3 linked regions of the Arabidopsis thaliana genome follow. The protein of the gene in region 3 interacts with the protein of the main gene of each other region in a pairwise test. Each region holds a gene or a part of one and is shown on either strand. Other genes may lie near its edges.

Evidence for each region.
Region 1: the proteins of AT2G16595 (region 3) and AGP16 interact in a protein complementation assay, tested with the Arabidopsis thaliana proteins (one large-scale study listed by BioGRID).
Region 2: the proteins of AT2G16595 (region 3) and AT1G33080 interact in a protein complementation assay, tested with the Arabidopsis thaliana proteins (one large-scale study listed by BioGRID).

Annotation. Positions count from the first base shown.
Region 1 is NC_003071.7:19,017,167-19,021,487, forward strand, and holds AGP16 (arabinogalactan protein 16), read right to left. Parts: upstream 2,199-4,321; 5' UTR 1,943-2,198; coding exon 1,828-1,942; coding exon of another isoform or gene 1,769-1,827; exon of another isoform or gene 1,671-1,768; coding exon 1,564-1,670; 3' UTR 1,098-1,563; downstream 1-1,097. Other genes in the region: AT2G46320 (Mitochondrial substrate carrier family protein), read left to right, coding at 40-216, 308-457, 593-651, 725-854. UniProt on the Arabidopsis thaliana protein: Proteoglycan that seems to be implicated in diverse developmental roles such as differentiation, cell-cell recognition, embryogenesis and programmed cell death.
Region 2 is NC_003070.9:11,983,290-11,991,464, forward strand, and holds AT1G33080 (MATE efflux family protein), read left to right. Parts: upstream 1-2,360; 5' UTR 2,361-2,462; coding exon 2,463-2,735; intron 2,736-3,840; coding exon 3,841-4,382; intron 4,383-5,366; coding exon 5,367-5,453; intron 5,454-5,792; coding exon 5,793-5,849; intron 5,850-5,996; coding exon 5,997-6,235; intron 6,236-6,533; coding exon 6,534-6,652; intron 6,653-6,752; coding exon 6,753-6,839; coding exon of another isoform or gene 6,840-6,908; exon of another isoform or gene 6,909-6,957; coding exon 6,958-7,038; 3' UTR 7,039-7,231; downstream 7,232-8,175. Other genes in the region: AT1G33070 (MADS-box family protein), read left to right, coding at 1,495-1,792, 1,886-2,010.
Region 3 is NC_003071.7:7,195,959-7,201,391, forward strand, and holds AT2G16595 (Translocon-associated protein (TRAP), alpha subunit), read left to right. Parts: upstream 1-2,168; 5' UTR 2,169-2,404; coding exon 2,405-2,468; intron 2,469-2,574; coding exon 2,575-2,727; intron 2,728-2,806; coding exon 2,807-2,857; intron 2,858-2,942; coding exon 2,943-3,028; intron 3,029-3,446; coding exon 3,447-3,524; intron 3,525-3,612; coding exon 3,613-3,816; intron 3,817-3,900; coding exon 3,901-3,972; intron 3,973-4,080; coding exon 4,081-4,128; 3' UTR 4,129-4,427; downstream 4,428-5,433. Other genes in the region: AT2G16592 (Bifunctional inhibitor/lipid-transfer protein/seed storage 2S albumin superfamily protein), read left to right, coding at 313-618; AT2G16594 (Bifunctional inhibitor/lipid-transfer protein/seed storage 2S albumin superfamily protein), read left to right, coding at 1,816-2,124; ROC3 (rotamase CYP 3), read left to right, coding at 4,904-5,425.

The sequences.
Region 1 (4,321 bases), about 12 Mb from region 3:
CAGAACCAATGGATATCGATTCTTGTGTTTTACTAACAGGCATTTAAGGGAACGCAAAGAAATGTGAAACTGCCTGGCGTTTGGAAGACATTAGTTGACGTCGTCAATCCAGTGAAGGGCTCAAATAATGGATATAGGATGTTATGGACTGGTCTTGGTGCTCAACTTGCTAGGGATGTTCCATTCTCTGCAATCTGCTGGTCGATACTTGAGCCTGTGAGTAGTAATCTGTCTCTGAAAAACACATCCATATTCACCCATTGTGTCTTCCATCCATGTCCTCACGATTGTTTCATTGTGACTTTAGACCCGGAGAAGCATTCAGTCGGCCATGGGTGAAGAACCAAGGGCAGGCAGTATAATAGGTGCAAACTTCGCTGCTGGTTTTGTTGCGGGTGCAGTTGCTGCAGCAGCTACTTGCCCTCTAGATGTTGCAAAGACTAGGCGTCAAATAGAGGTAAACATACCTTTTTCACTTCATCTTTCATAATTCCACTGTGTTGCTCTACAAACTAGAATTCATCGCCAGCTTGCATTAAGTAAGTTTTGGATCTTAAACCAAGTAACAGTTAAATTTGTTTGGATTATGCAGAAGAACACAGATAGAGCCATGACAATGACCACAAGACAAACCTTGGCAGAGATTTGGAGGTATGAGTTAGAGATCCATTAGACAATTTTCGTGTTTCCAAACTTAACCATCCCGGTCGGGTTTTTGGTATAGGGACGGAGGGATGAGAGGGATGTTTAGTGGAGCAGGGGCTAGAGTGGGACGAGCAGGACCATCTGTAGCCATTGTGGTATCGTTTTACGAAGTGGTCAAGTACGGACTGCACAACTTCCACCAACAGTAACACTTATACTAGACAGATTTTGTTTTGATGCGAAGCTAAAAAGAACACACTTGCGCGTCTAATCCAATAAAGGTTACCGTATTAGGTGCTTACGGCAAAACTTGATTTTTTTTTGTCAAGAAGGAATATTATTTATGCAAGTTGTTGCATTTGTTTTTCGTTTTAATATTTTTTGTAAGAACAAGTAAATTAACACGAGATTCTTATGGCAAGAAATTAACTCCATGCATGCTGATCAAGGGTGTGATTTATAAATGACATGTGAAATGGCATATATACAATTCCGTGATTTATAAACTTTTTCATGAGAAATTGTAATCTGAAGATAAGACTTTGAGAATCGAATTCAAAAGAGTTGAGCAAATTTTCTGGCTTTCATATCCTGCTTCTGAACTGGTCAGAGATTTCTTTTGTGAGGCCAATAAAGTTGGTAATTGTCAAATATCTGGTAATTTAAGCTAAATGATGACATTTACACAAATATTATAAGGGAAGAAGAATAAATTTAATATGGAAGAGAATAAACAAAAAAGAACAAACAGTAGAGATTATCATCAATCAATCAATCTCCAGAAATCATAATCGAGAACATGATGATGAAATTAACTCTTGAAAATTTTATCCACAAGAAGAAGAAAAAAGGCAAATTGAAGAAACTAATAAGAAGTTGCAAAGAAATAAAAAAAAACAGAAGAAAGAGAGAGAGAGATTAGAAGAAGGAGTAGGAAGAAGAAGCATCAAGAGGATGAATTAGGTAAGTCAGCACTAACGCCACCACCATTAGCAAATACGCTATCCCTTGATCTATCGATGTTCCTGCCATTTCCAAAACACACCATTTTCAAATGTCAGAGAGAAACGAATTCGTAATCCAATTCGACTGTTTCCAGATTTCACGCGGAGAGAGTCTCGATTCAGATCTGGAAATGCGAATATCGTGGAAGAAGAGAGAGAGAGAAGTAGAGAGGCTTACCATCGCTGGTGGGAGCAGGAGCTGGAGCCAGGGATTGAGCGCCGGCGAGAGATAAGATGACGGCGAATACAAAACTGAACAACGCGAATCCGGTGACGGAGTTTCTCGACGCCATCTCTTGGTGATTGATCCGACGAAAATGATGATGCTCGAGAGAAAAAATCGAGAGCTCTGCAGGTGAAAAACTCCGGCGAGAGAGTGATTCTGCAGAGACGACGGAGGAGAGAGAGAAAACGGTATGAGAGGAATAAAGCAAGAAGTGGAAGGAGACGACTTGTTTAAGGTGTTCTTATAGTATGAAGACCGGTTAAAGGTTACCGGTTTCAACCGGTTATTTATCCGGTCAAATCTATTTACTAGTCAAGCTAATTAAACAAAAAACTTCTAAGAAGCATGATTTTCCTCGAATTTTCTTTTATTCTTTTTTGACCATTCCTCTATTGTTCTTTTTTTTCCTAGTTTTCTTGTCAAAATTGACATTTTTTTTTGAATGAATAATTGTCAAAATTGACATTACTATGTTTCTAGATAAATAAAAAATAAAATCATGTTTGAATGATCAAAAGTATGAATTGTTGTGTTAGAATTTTGACTAAAGTTGTTGTATCTCTAATCCAATTTGATTTGTGAATTGTTGATAGAAAATTGTTTTCTTTTTTCTGTCAACGGATAGAAAAAGATAGAAACTTGATTAGGTACTGATCTAAATTACAATCATATAGCCGATAAAAAAAATTATAATCATATAAGTAAATAAATTATTTATGTAATAAACTTAAATGAATTACAAAAATTCAATATTGGTAGCTTTATAGGGTAAATTCAAAAATAGCAATAGAAATGAAGTTATGGATTATATGGTTTAAACATAAGCCCAAAAACAAAACAAAAAAATCTTTAAAAGAAATTGGCGGCTAGTTTAATTAAACGTTACAGCGACGAAGAAGGCCATGTGATGTGATGTGATTATCTTTTTTTTGTAAGCATTGTTTGGTTGGATTATGATAAAATACAAATCTTTAGAGGTGGTGTAATGGTAGGGGCTGACAGACTGGCAGCCAAACTGGACTCATTCGTCATATGTGACTCATTAGTCAGTCTCTCTCTCTCTCTATTATTCCTTTTTTTTATTGATACTCAATTATTTGTTTCTGCTATGTCGATTAATTTATTTAACGGCTATCTCAGTAGGTGTTAATCTGCGTGATTATCGGTTAATCTGCCAACATTTTGATTTTTTAAATACTAAAGATTTTCCTATCTATCTCACATGTGGTGTCAGAATAAAACAATTTATCGTGATGATGTTATCTTACATATGCTGTTTTGTTTAGGTAGAGTGTATTTTACAATATTAAAAACTTTTTAACTTGACACTATTTATAATACTAAACAGTAAATAACGATTTTTCTATGGTTTTTGATTCATAACCATGGCAGATTGATTGATTTTACCATTCTATTCCATATCCTTTTTCTTTTTCTTTCAAGGTTATCAGTTAAAAATTAAAATATATATGAGTGTGCTTGACTTCTTTTTTAATTTGGAGTACCTCGGTTGTTGAATGTACGACAATATGAATTATTTGTTGTATAGTTATTATATTTGTTATTTAATGATTCATGTAATCTTTATTAGGTGGCTAATTCACTAACTAGTAAGAGGAATTAGCCGTTGGATCAGTTACATCAATCATTTTATGTTTCAAAATATATATACTATAATAATATCTTTTAACATAACAGGAACGTGCATGTTGCAGTTGGAAATAATGTAGGGTCATCTTTTTTCAAATTTGCAAATCCTAAAACGTTATCAGCTTTTACTTTTCAAGGGTTACTAATGGTTCAGAAATCAGAATGAATGTAGTAAATCCAAAAGGAATAATACACATATATATATGTGTCACATGTGTGCGGCCAAAATAGTTCACTGACTCTTGCTCTCTCATATCTTCAATCATGTTTTTTTTTTTTTTAAACATATCTTCAATCACGTTACTCGACTGGTGGTGTTTCACGGGTGAGAAATATATGTATTTACGTATTAATTTCTTAGAATGAATATTCTACAAATAAAAGTTACTATTTGTTCTTACGTCAAAAGAATAGAGAGTTATTAAAAAGGCCACTTGATTAAAAATATATGAATAATCAATTGATGTTAATAATAATAAACTTCGTATATAAAAAATTGTCGTATATGACGACTAAAATTTAAGCACAAAAAAAAGTCTTGTGGTATAATAATTTTGATCAAAGAAAGAAAATAGAGATGAGCACAAAGAGCCTAAAATAGAGGGACAATGAAAAGGATGGAGTAATGGGATTGTTTGAAGCAACCATGTGCCCTGTGAACCCAACTTGCCTCTTTTGGTTCCAATTCGATTACCAATGTTTCGTCAACTACTGGTCAAAGTTACCAATATTTCATCAGAATAATCAAATCATCTTTAGCATTTTACAATATTAGTATAGAGATATCAGAAAATGT
Region 2 (8,175 bases), on a different chromosome or scaffold from region 3:
TGGAAAATAGATTTACTAGGGATTTTAAAAGAGTTTTAAAATATTTACAAAGAATTTTTAAAGGGTTTTAAAAGATTTACAATGGATTTTAAAAGGGTTTTAAAAGATTTATAAGGGATTTTAAAAGAGTTTTAATATTGATAAATATATATTTATATTTATGACGAGAGAAATAAAAAGAAGAAAAAAGTAAACGTACGTCATTTTAGAAGAAAACTTTTTCTTTTGCTATATGTAGAGGAATTAAATCTTCTACTTTACTCTGCTTTTTGACTTTTCAAAAAGAAAAAGATTTTTTATTTACAATAGAAAAGTATATTACATTACATAATACACAATCAAATTTCATATTTCAAATAATAATTCAGTAAATTTTGTAATTTATTACAATATCTTTATTTAATAATTATTTTGTTTCCAGCACATAAAGTATCTACAATACTATTATTTAATAAAATAACACAAAATATTATGAATATTTCTGATTTATAAGAAATAAGGTTGAATTTTGATGAAATTCAAAGTTATTATATTTCACATATAATCAGGTTACCTAAAACACGAATATAACATATGTTCTTAAGTTAATAACATTATCTAAAAACTCTTAAAATGATCCAAAATGTCAACTGTAACTCATAAAACGTTAATGTAGATTTTAGTACAAATTTAAATTAATATATTTAAAAGTTTTATCAATCATAATTATTATATATTTTGGTGATTTTTAACAAAACTTAACTAATCTTTCTTTTTTTTTGTAATCAAAACGCAAACTAACGAAACCAATTGTGAAAATTTTGATTTACAATATTAAAGTATACATAATTTATTAAAAACATAACAAAAATAACATCATTGAAAACCTTTATAAAAAATATATAACTAAATGCTGTGACTACTTTCCTAAGTTTCTCTCAAGTTTTTTTCAAGTTTTGCTCAATTATTTATTTGGTAAATTATATGCAGAAAAACAAAACAATTCCACAACTTTTTCTCAAGGTTTTTTTTTTGTGTGCTCATAATTTATAAATTGAAATTAGAAAGATACATGAAGATTAGGCTTCATCGGAGAAATCCGAGTAACAAGTTCGAAAATTGAAAAGCTTAACCATACATAACTCAAACATAGAGACACGAACTGCAGTAAGCTTGATAGGGGAAGAAGTGTCGAAACTAACTAACACAAGCATGCCCATGAGGAAGGGACGGATAACGAAGAAACTCCATGAGTTGACAACTCTCTGCGAAGTCAAAGCATGTGTGGTAACCTACAGTCCGTACGAGAATCCAGTGGTGTGGTCGTCAACCGAAGGTGTTTAAGAGGCGGTTTTAATGTTTATTAAAAGGCCGGCGATAGAACGGTCCAAGCTGATGATGAGTCATGAGACCTACTTGTAGAACCAAATTACCAAAGAAACAAAGAAACTGGAGCGTCTACGTCTTGAAAACCGAGAAACTCAGCTTACACATTTTATGTTTGATTGTGTTGAGGGTAAGATAAGTGAGCATCAGTATGGTGCAAGGGACCTTCAAGATTTAAGTTTTCATATTGATCACTATATCAATCAGCTTAATTCCAGGGTCAAGATCCTTACAAACAATGGTGAGTCTTCTTCTTCCGTTCCTCCTCTACTTCATACTTCAGTTGCGGGTGCGGGTGCAGCTCCTCTTCCTGTTGCGGGTGCCGATCTTCCGATGGATCAGAATCAGTATGAGCCGATTCAGCTCTATATCCCTATTGGTCTTAGTTATCATATTCAATACCAACATGAAATCTATGATAATTTCAGTTTGGATCCAAATCATTAGTATCCGTTTCAACATGATCCACTCATGAATATGTTGATGGAATATCCTTATCAACAAGTGGGTTATGTTGGAGAGCATGCGCACATCCTTTTCATGAACGGAAACTACTACAACTACCACCAAACACCAACCGTTGGTCTTACTACCACCGGTCACATGCCTTCCAACAACAACACCACCCCCACCACCGATGTGTGATGTGTTTCAATAGTTTGCATTTTTGTTTTGTTCGTTTCAAAAAACCTTAAACTCTTACAACAATTAATTGGATTTGGTTTGGTTATAAAAGATGTGTCTATTCAAACACCAACTTTTGGTAAAATATTTGTAGAGGCCATACCTCGCTGTGATATATATTTCGACTATCTCATCCCATTTTTTGGGTGATTTGTTCAAAACTAGCTATGTCTTTTTCGGTATGCAATGTATAAATGTAAATGTAATTTTGACAAATTTTAAATTTTATTTAAAATTTATTTATGAAAAGTATTCATTTTGCATATAAAATACCAATTTGGCAAATTAAAGAATCTTAAAAAGAGGTGTAGGCCGGCTTTTCATTTCCTCCGTACGTAAATAAACAACCCACCAAACAAAAATCTCTCCTCGCTCCATGCCTTCTCTACTCTCTCTTCATTCTCTCCTAAGCTATGGCGAGAAGAGAAGGAGAAGTGACGGAGACCCTTCTGAAAAAGTCGACGGAGAATCGCGGAGAAGATCGGGATGGGTTAGGGATGAAGGAGAAGGTTTGGAGGGAATCTAAAAAGCTATGGGTTGTGGCTGGGCCGGCGATCTTTACGAGGTTCTCCACGTCCGGACTATCTTTGATAAGTCAAGCTTTCATTGGCCATCTTGGCTCTACCGAGTTGGCCGCTTACTCCATCACTCTCACCGTTCTCCTCCGTTTTAGTAATGGTATCTTGGTGAGTTTACTATAAGTCTATAACGATTAGATCAGTTCTTCCACACACTCTTTACTACAAATTCGTAAAACATAAAAACAATTTTTTTTTGTTTTAATAACTATTAATATATGTTAAGGATTGTTCTGATTAGTTTGAATGATATAAATCGTACTATATAAACGGTGACGTGAATGCTTAGATAGACTTCTTGTGGGAACTTGTTTTGGTTGATTTGTCAACCAATCATAAAAATTCACAACCACTCAACTCTTTGCCTTTATGAAATGAAATTATGCTATTTCTATGTATATAAGATATTGAATGTTTGGAAGGCATTGTTGGTCGTATACTCTTCGTTTATTGTTAGTGTAGTTACCTTTTTCACATAAACAAGTCTCAACTGAAACTCCATGAGTTTTGATTATTACATCAATTATTATTAATGGTTGGAAATGCAACAAAAACATTTCATTGTTAAGTAGAATCAGTGGGTAAATACAAAATAGAATAAAGTTTAGAAAGTTGGAGAATATAACAAACACCTTTAACCAAAAAAAAGTTGGAGAATATATTGATTTTATAAAAAGTGAAAAAAAAATATTGTAAGAAATGACAAAAAAAATAAAGGAATAGTCAGAAGATTAATTTATATTAAGACAATATATTCCCTTTTCTTATTTGTACTCCATAGTGCAACAAAGATAACATTGTCAAGAAGTATAGCGAGTCATTGGCCACAAATGTCCAATGGTCACCTGCCAATGCCATCGTTTTCTTAATGTTTTGGTCTTTAATTAGCATATCATGTGTGAGGTTCGAATTTATAATATGAAATAGTGCTTTTAAAATGTTATTAGACCATTGGACATATATTCAGTTACACCAAAAAAATTCAATACACAATATATGATCTCTTTACCAACAAGAGTTTATAGGTTATATACATTTTTTAGTTATCAACATGCAATATCCAAGTTTAAAGTTTAAATATTATAGTTGTTTATATATAAGCGTTTATCAAACCTACTTAGTTCTTGTTTTATAGGCAAAATATGTAAAATATTTAACCATAAAATAGTTTTTTTTTGGTGTAATAACGAACCGTCAATGAAACAATATGCAGTTAGGCATGGCTAGTGCGCTAGAAACACTATGTGGTCAAGCCTATGGAGCAAAACAATATCATATGCTTGGGATCTACCTCCAAAGATCATGGATCGTCCTCACAGGCTGTACCATTTGCCTTATGCCCATCTACATCTTTGCAGGCCCTATTCTCTTGGCTTTAGGTCAAGAGGAACGCCTTGTTCGTGTGGCTCGGATCATAGCTCTATGGGTCATAGGCATCAACATCTCCTTTGTGCCTTCCTTCACTTGCCAAATGTTCCTCCAAGCTCAGAGTAAGAACAAGATCATCGCCTACGTTGCTGCTGTTTCGTTAGGAGTCCATGTCTTCTTGTCGTGGCTTCTAGTGGTTCATTTTGATTTCGGGATCGCTGGTGCCATGACCTCTTCGCTCGTAGCACATTGGTTGCCTAACATTGCGCAGGTTTTATTTGTCACATGCGGTGGATGTACGGAAACGTGGAGAGGATTCTCTTGGTTGGCTTTCAAGGATCTTTGGCCCGTTTTTAAACTATCTGTATCTTCCGGTGGCATGATTTGGTATGATTTTCTAATCTTCTCACCTGGTAAAAGTATCAACATCCATCAACGACATAAGTATATATTTACTAGTCATACAAATACTTTTGTAGACCATGTGGTTGTAATCATATATATGAAAAGTTGACCAACTCTCTCCAAATGATTAACACATCATCACTTTAGCATTTGCCATGTGTCTACTAAGTAATTAATGTAAGCTCTTCAACTTCTAATTTATAGGTTAATGATATATTTATTATTTAATTTTACATATTTAATTATAGTATTACTAAATTTATTTTAATATTACATGATTTTTCAATAAAACAATTTTAATAGTTTTCTCATACTCGAAGATTTTTTTTTGTAATCCAAACTCAAAATACGATTATATAATAGTCTTAGATTACTTAATGATTTGAGTAAGTTATTCTCTTAAATTGATATTTATATTCTCTTAAATTGATATTTATACAATAAATCACTGAGAGTGAAGAATACGTAAGGAGCTCCATCATCAAATTCTTAGGTTTCTAGAATCCAAAACTACCCTCTGTTAAGTTGGTTTAATACAAACGTTATTTATGAATTATATGTATGATGCATTGTTGAGAATGTTGTTAGAAAAAATATTCTTGAAACTAAAAATAATTGCTTATTGCATGAATAAATAATTAGATAAATAAAAATTATATTTAAACTAAACAATACGAAAAATTCCGAAAAAACCGCGGCGTAGCGCGGGTGATCACCTAATTTATATATAATGCCACGTTGGGTGAAAAGCTGCCAAGTACATTCATTCATTTTCTCAAAGGTTGAGAAATTTTGAATAAATGTTATAGAGAAAAATTTCGTGTTTATGTATTTGTATAATAATATTATTACTATAATAGTATTAATATTATTGTTATAATATTACTATGATTAATATATATATATATACACATATATTATGATAATATATAATAGCACTTGCTTGGTGATATTAATTTTTGGCAGCTTGGAGCTATGGTACAACTCGATCTTGATTCTGCTCACGGGAAACTTGAAAAACGCTGAGGTTGCTCTTAACGCACTTGCAATCTGGTAAAGTATTTTTATCAGTTTTATGTCTTTTGTCTTTGAAGCTATATTCATACGATCGATTTGTACATTATCTTTAGATCATTCGTCTGAATGCTACTGACATTTTACCATTTTTGACTTCATACGGAACACTACTGACGAACATTGTTCGTAGGAAAACAGAAAGAATTGGTTTTATTGTCTACATAACAATATACATTGATGCTAGAGAAAATGATAGGTTTAGGTTACCAATTGTACTTATACTCTCTAGCTAATTGGTAGCCGCGGAATAGCATAATGCTTTTGCGATTGATCATAGGCACTTAGATTCAATATTATATGTTATAATTTTCGCAGCATCAATATAAATGCACTGGAGATGATGGTAGCCTTCGGCTTCATGGCAGCAGCAAGGTGCGTATATATTGTATATACTAGATATATTTGATTATATTCTTCTTGATTAAGTCATTCTAAATATTTGATTACACATGCTTTATTTAAATATCTTATAATCATCTTCATATTTTTATTTTATTTTGTAATAATGTTTTGTAATAGTGTAAGAGTTTCAAACGAGATCGGGAGTGGGAATTCTAATGGAGCCAAATTTGCAACAATGGTTGTGGTTTCGACATCACTTTCGATAGGAATCATCTTCTTCTTTATCTTCCTGTTTTTAAGAGAAAGGGTTTCATACATTTTTACAACAAGTGAAGCTGTTGCCACACAAGTAGCCGATCTTTCTCCACTCTTGGCCTTCTCCATTCTCTTGAACAGTATTCAACCAGTTCTCTCTGGTATGTATCTTGCCTTTTCGATACTCCTATATTGTTTACCATATATAAGACATTAATTCATCGAACGTTGTAGGGATTCATTTTTCAATGATCACTCTATATTCATGCATTGACTGAATATGTGAAATTGGTTATTATAGGTTTTTACGTAGAAAGGGTTTTGTGTGATATATATCCACTATCCAGTCACTTTCACGTATAATGAGTTACCAATTTATCATTATATGATGAATACGTGACGAATGAGTTTGTTTATAACCCTAGACAACATGTTGAACTTATTTATAAATGGGTACAGGAGTTGCTGTTGGAGCGGGATGGCAGAAATATGTTACGGTCGTTAACCTTGCTTGCTATTACCTTGTTGGAATTCCTTCCGGTCTTTTTCTTGGCTATGTCGTTGGTTTACAAGTCAAAGTAAGTCTCAATTTTTATTATTAATATTTTCTTTTTAGTTTTTTAATTTAATTTTGTATATACAAATATAAAATAGTTTTTTTTTAAATATAAAATTTAGGGTGTTTGGTTAGGAATGATTTTCGGAATCTTCGTTCAGACTTGCGTGCTTACAGTAATGACTATGAGAACAGACTGGGATCAACAGGTTTGCAAATCGAATATTATTGGATTTTTAGTAGAAAATTATAAGTATTTTTTTTTGGTTATAATATAAGAACTGACTTGTATATATACATTACTCCTTATTGTTATAAATAATGCAGGTGTCTTCGTCGTTGAAACGTTTGAACCGTTGGGTTGAACCAGAATCCCCAAGTCGAAACCAAACTTTACAAAACGAATGATGGTGAAGATTGAAGTAAAACTTGAGTTTGTATTCGAATTTTGAATTTCTACTTCACCCTCGAATGTACACACTTGCGTAAAATGTAAATGTGAAACAAGTGGTAACGAATTTGGACCACTAAAGTATCAGTCCTTAACTCAGTGATCATTTTCACCTACTAAACTAGGAATCTTTAAGAGCTTTCAAGTGGCAAACCAATTATCGCACATTCTTAGAGAAAAAAATTTGAGAGGAAAAAACGGTAAACAAATACTGATATAGATCAAAGAAGAAAGAAATAGCACTACAACAAAAATCTAGTGTAACTATTATAAAGCTGTCGTAACAAATCAAAGCCATTTTGTTTTGTTAGCATTTTGTTTCGAATTTTTCTTGGCTATGCTATAGATTTGCAGATAAAGGTAGAATTATTTTTTCATTATTATGATTTTTCAAAACAAAATATACGTTGTTTTCTTATTTTAACATTTCTTCTACCGAATTTTTATTCACCAAATTTTTTTATGTAGTATAAAATTTAAAACTATTTTTCTTTCAATGTCAAAATCTATACTATTAATTGGGAAGTATTGTAAATAAACAACCTTATGAAGGGTAGAATATTACATAGAATGCCATTGATTGTTAGTGTTTTTAAATAAATTCATTAAGGATACAATAGTAATCACAAAATTAATAGATTTAAATTAAAAATTGTAATATTTTTTAAAGTAATTATTAGTTTCCCAAAATTAAAATAACTTTCTCTTTCCTATTAATTATGGACGAAAAATTAAACTTTATTTCTTAAAATTTATTAACCAATAAGAATTGCAAAACTAAGATTTGATATCCAATTATACTATTTTATTAAACTAACATTTTTGAAGTTAATTTTTATTTATTTTTTTTAAAAAATCATAAAACTTGCTTGATACCATTAATAAAAATCATAATTTGCGATAGATAAATAAATTTAATTTTAGAATTTTGGGTTAAGTATTTTGAAATATAAAATGAAAACAATTATTTCACAATTTCTAAAAAACAAGATTAGATATAACAAAGATTTATATTTACTATGAATTAAACTAAAAATAATTAATTTAAACTAATTATCATTATGCCATTCATTTAGAAATATTTAAACAAGAAA
Region 3 (5,433 bases):
TGGTCATCCAAGTCCATACTAGTTTATACTTTCATTTTCATATCTTAGTAATTCGGATCCTATATCTAGAAGATAGATGGGCAACTGACAACACGTCACGATTGACGAGGTCCTTAATGAATCCAACACCACATAATTAAAGAGAGCTAACATTAGGATAACCATCCTCTCTTCTTTCCGACTTCCATATTTTCTTGTTTTTTTCAATTCTCTATTTAGAGACAATATAATTAAGAAGAAAATGAAGACTATTTCTACAAAGTAAACTCATCTTGTTTTGATTGTAATTTCAAGTTACTAATTCATCAGATCATGAAGACCATTCCATTGATATTCATCGCCACCATCATAATCTTGACATCATTTCCAGCCACGATCAAAGTCGTCGGTGCCAAAAAAGATCTACCATTTTGCAATGTGGAGCTTCTACCTTGCGTCCTACCTTTTAAAGTTCGTGGTCACGGAAGCAAACTGCCTAATGGCTGTTGTGAGAAAATGAAAAAGTCAACATCATGTATGTGTAGATTCCTAATGGCCAAGGAACGTGACCTGAACGCAGCTGCTCATAGAATATTCTGGTTTTGCAAAATTTCCGTCCCTAATTGTCCAAAAATCTAGAGATATAGGTTATGGTTTTTTCTTAATTTATTTTATACATAAGTTATGTTCCTCGACTATATCTACGACATGATTGATTGAAGCTCGAGAGACACAAGTTGAGCTTCAATACACAACCATTTAAGAAACATATAACCATTTAAGCGAAAATTATTATTAATACTTTATCCACCTTTGTAACTAACACACAGAAACATGATCCTGTGACATTTTACGTGTTCCAGATATCACTTGATCCTGTGACTTTTTAGCATTTTCCAGGGTACCTTAAAAGTCGAGTTATCGATCTCTGCTAGTAATATCTGTTTCTAAATTGACAAGTGAAAACGAAGTCGTTTCGTCAACACCAAAAGCATTAAACACGTCAAAAAGACAAAACCACCTTTGTCTTCTTGCGTTCTTCGCCCTCAACCCACCACTATCAATTTAAGACCAATCTGAAAACCATCATGACGACAAGGATCATACATTTTTTCTTTGCTTTCCTTCTCCTTGCCTCACTTTTCCTCAAAGGCAGTATTCTAAAATACATTCGTACATATATACGATGTTGTGAGAAGCCGTACAGTTGTATAACACAACTAAAGTAGCAATCTATTTGTTAAATTTTATGGTGAGTGTGGATTCATTCAAAACTTCCATCCCCATCACTACCTTCATCCATCCGACCATTCAAGCTTCGAACCTTAGATTCTGTGGATCAAACCATTGGTGGATATCCCGTGGCTGCCTCAATTCTATTCTACTTTCCATTCAAGATGGTTCAAAGTTCTACTTCAAGCAGATATTTTGTGAATGGATTTAAGTTATTATTCCTGTCTATTTGAGTTTTGTAGAATTTGCTTTCTAGTATACATACTTCACCATGTATTATAATTGACTCAACTTTGGTCATCCAAGTCTATACTAGTTTATACTTTCATATGGTATAGTTCGGGACCGAACATGGGGTCCTATATCTAGGAGATAGTGGAGCAGCTGACGACACGTGACGAGCTCCTTAATGAATAAAACTCCACATAAACAGAGCTAACAATAGGACAACCATCCTTCCATCTCTCCGACTTCCCATATTGTTTTGTTTCTCAATTTTCTATTTAAAGACATCTAAAAAATGAAGAAAACAAAGATTATTAATTTCTACAAAGTAAACTCATCTTATTTTGATTGTAATTTCGAGTTACTAATACATTAGCAATGAAGATCAGTCCATGGATACTCATAGCCATCATCATGATGATCTTAGCATCATTTCCTTCTCCGATCAAAGTCGTTGGTGCAAAAAAAGAGCTACCATTTTGCAATCTGGATCTTCTAGCTTGCGTCCAACCTTTTCTAGTTAACGGTCACGGAGGCAAACTGCCTAAAGGCTGTTGTGAGAAAATGAAAAAGTCAACATCATGCATGTGTAGATTCCTTACGGCCAAGGAACAGAATCTAAACGCAGCTGCTCATAGAATATTCTGGTTTTGCCATATTTCTGTCCCCAATTGTCCAAAAATATAGGGGTTATAGGTTATGTTCCTCGGCCATAATTATGACACTTTGTACTAAAATGTTATAACACCTATGGGCAAGGTGTTTCTAAATTGGTAAGTCGGAAAACGACGTCGTTTACAAAATCCGATCTGCACACACACTCACATTCATATGTCGTTCTTCGTCAACGTCGGTGAAGAAAGCATAAACACGTCAAAAGACAAAAGCACCTCTGTCTTCTTGCTTTCTTCGCCCTTTTACTTCAACCCACGAAGATCAATTCAACTAAACCAATCTCAAAACCATCATGAGGACAAGTTTTAGACTTCTCTTCTTCGCTTTCCTTCTACTTGTCTCACCTTTTCTCAAAGGTAACACCTTTCTCTTCTACTTGTTCATTCATTTGCTGATTCTACTCTGTTTTTGTTCACATGATCTTTGTTTGAATTCATTGTGATGGGTTTTGTTTGTTTTTAGTTGCTTTGTGCCAATCGGATTCGGAAGATTCTGGCTTCGAAGTTTCTGATGTTGGTGAAGAAGAGAGTGATGCAGAGGAAGTTTTTGGTTTGGAACTTACCTCAGCTCCTGGAATTGAAACCCTTTGCGTTTTCCCCAAGAACAGTGCAAAAAGTACAGATTTTTACTCTGTTTTTAATCTAATTTCTGAAATTAGGCTTCTTCTCAATTTGGTTTGTCTGATTTTCTGTAGTAATAAAAGCTGGAGTTGAGACTGAGCTGCTTGTTGGAATGAAAAATGATGGTAATGAAAGTGATTTTTCTATCAAATGATTACTTGCAAAGTTAGCTATAAAGTTTCTAACTTTGTGGTTGGGTTATATGAATAGGTCAATCCAATGTAGATATTGTTGCTGTTAAAGGCAGTTTACATCTTCCTTTTGATCAAAATGCTGTTCAGAATCTCACTGCTCTGGTAATTAATCATCTTTTGCTTCTTCTCACATTTATTGCTTGTGTGATCTCACTTGTCTTTCCATATTAGTTTTTCCCTTTGTTAGGTTCTTTTCATTGCCTGTTTTGTCTCATCTCATGTTACTCCACACTATGCACTCTTTGTTAGGTCATTCATGGTTTAGTAACAATACCTGAACTTGTTACATCCCTGTATCTAAATGCAAGAAAGTCTCTCTCTAGCCTTTAATCTTTATCATTTATGTTTTGATACCAGATACTTGCTTTGGCTCTAGCTATATTCCATTTCATTTCTAGATATAGAATCTTACAATGGCTTTTGCTGAATATAGAGTTTTCTCCTCTTTTCCTTTTCTGGCCTTTGCTCTTTAAGTTTGCTACTTATTATTTGGTCATTTTGTCGAATCATCTAAATGTAGAGTTTCAGCAACGCGTCTGTGCCAACTTCCGCTCAAGCTACCTTGCCATATGCTTTTGCTGTCAGCAAGTTCCTGCAGGTATGTTTGTTAATCATATAGTTCTTCTAGTCTCCAAGATGACATTAAAATATAGAATAGAATCCGAGGTAACCATTTGCTCGTGCAGGCGGGTGCTTTTGATTTTGTTGGCACCATCATCTATGAGATAGATGGTAAGCCATACCAAAGCATCTTTTATAATGGAACTATTGAAGTTGTTGAAGATGGTCCTCTCTTCAGAATGGAGTCAGTCTTCCTTAGTGGTCTTTTAATCTTTGTTATCGCTTTTCTCGCCATCTATATCCAAAATGTTTTGAAGCATATGACCAAGGTACATCCTATTTCGCTATCTTATCGCACTTTCATTCCATGGTACTAACTTTGAGAATGGTTACTGTGAAAATGCTTTGCGCAGAAAACAAAGAGAGCACCAAAAGTTGAAGTTGGAACCGCAACTAAAGATGCTTCGCATGATGAATGGCTTGAGGTATTCGTTGCACAAGACCTAATAACTTTCTCCATAATGGGTTTTAACTTTTAATGTATTGAACATTTTGGTATTGATACATTGCTCTCAATGTATTGTGTAATGCAGGGTACTTCGTACACTCAATCTTCGAGTAAGTCAAAGAAGAAGAAGTAGATCTCACACGCTTTGTTAGGGGGCTTGAGATAAGAAACCGAAAACACACGAACGATAGTAACGTTGCAGTTGTTGGTAGAGATAACTTCACAGAATCTGTAATGCTTTCTTTACTCTCTCTAGCTATAGATGTTGCAAGGAAACAATTTTCTTTAACTTTTGTAATTTGTCAAGATTATTTTCTTTTGTTTAAAATGATAATTCTCTTTCGAAAGTTCATGTATATAGTAAAGAAAAGTTGAATAATCATTAGATTAACAATATAGGTTGAAATTTTGTATTTGGAAATTATATCGTATAATCCAAGGTTTAAAATATGAGAGTTGTGTCATTAGACTATTATGATGCTCTATGAAGCTAATCCTCTCAGTCTCTACAATTATTTAAGAGTGGTTTGGGCTAAGTACATGTACATTATCGGAACTCTTATTTATCTCCAAACCAATGGGCTTCTTTTTACGACATTGGGCTTAATATTCCTGGCCCGTAAATAAATCAATGAAACGACTACTTAATATCTTATCCAGTAAAAAGGTAGAGAAAAAAAAAACACAATATTCTCTCTCTGCCTCGGATCCACGCAACTATTAACCCTAGTTAGATTCAACACTAACCACAGTTAACACGAACCCTTTCAATCTTCCTCCACGTGTCAAAATCAACGGTCACAAAAATCATTTCCTTCTCTTTATAAAACACTACCAAAACCCTAATCTCTTTCACACAATCACAGAACCTAATCTTCTTCTCCAATCAATCTCAGAGAAAAAAAGAAATGGCAACAAACCCTAAAGTCTACTTCGACATGACCGTCGGTGGCAAATCCGCCGGTCGTATCGTGATGGAGCTTTACGCCGACACAACACCAGAAACCGCCGAGAATTTCAGAGCACTCTGTACCGGAGAGAGAGGAATCGGTAAACAAGGTAAGCCATTACACTACAAAGGATCAAGCTTTCACCGAGTGATTCCGAAATTCATGTGTCAAGGAGGTGATTTCACAGCCGGGAATGGTACCGGAGGTGAATCTATCTATGGATCGAAGTTCAAAGACGAGAACTTTATCAAGAAACATACAGGACCAGGTATTTTGTCTATGGCTAACGCTGGTGCGAACACGAATGGATCTCAGTTTTTTATTTGTACTGAGAAGACTTCGTGGCTCGATGGGAAACATGTTGTGTTTGGTCAAGTTGTTGAGGGATTGAATGTTGTTAGAGATATTGAGAAGGTTGGATCTGACTCTGGAAGAACTTCTAAGCCTGTTGTCATTGCTGATTGTGGTCAGATTTCTTAGATCTGTCT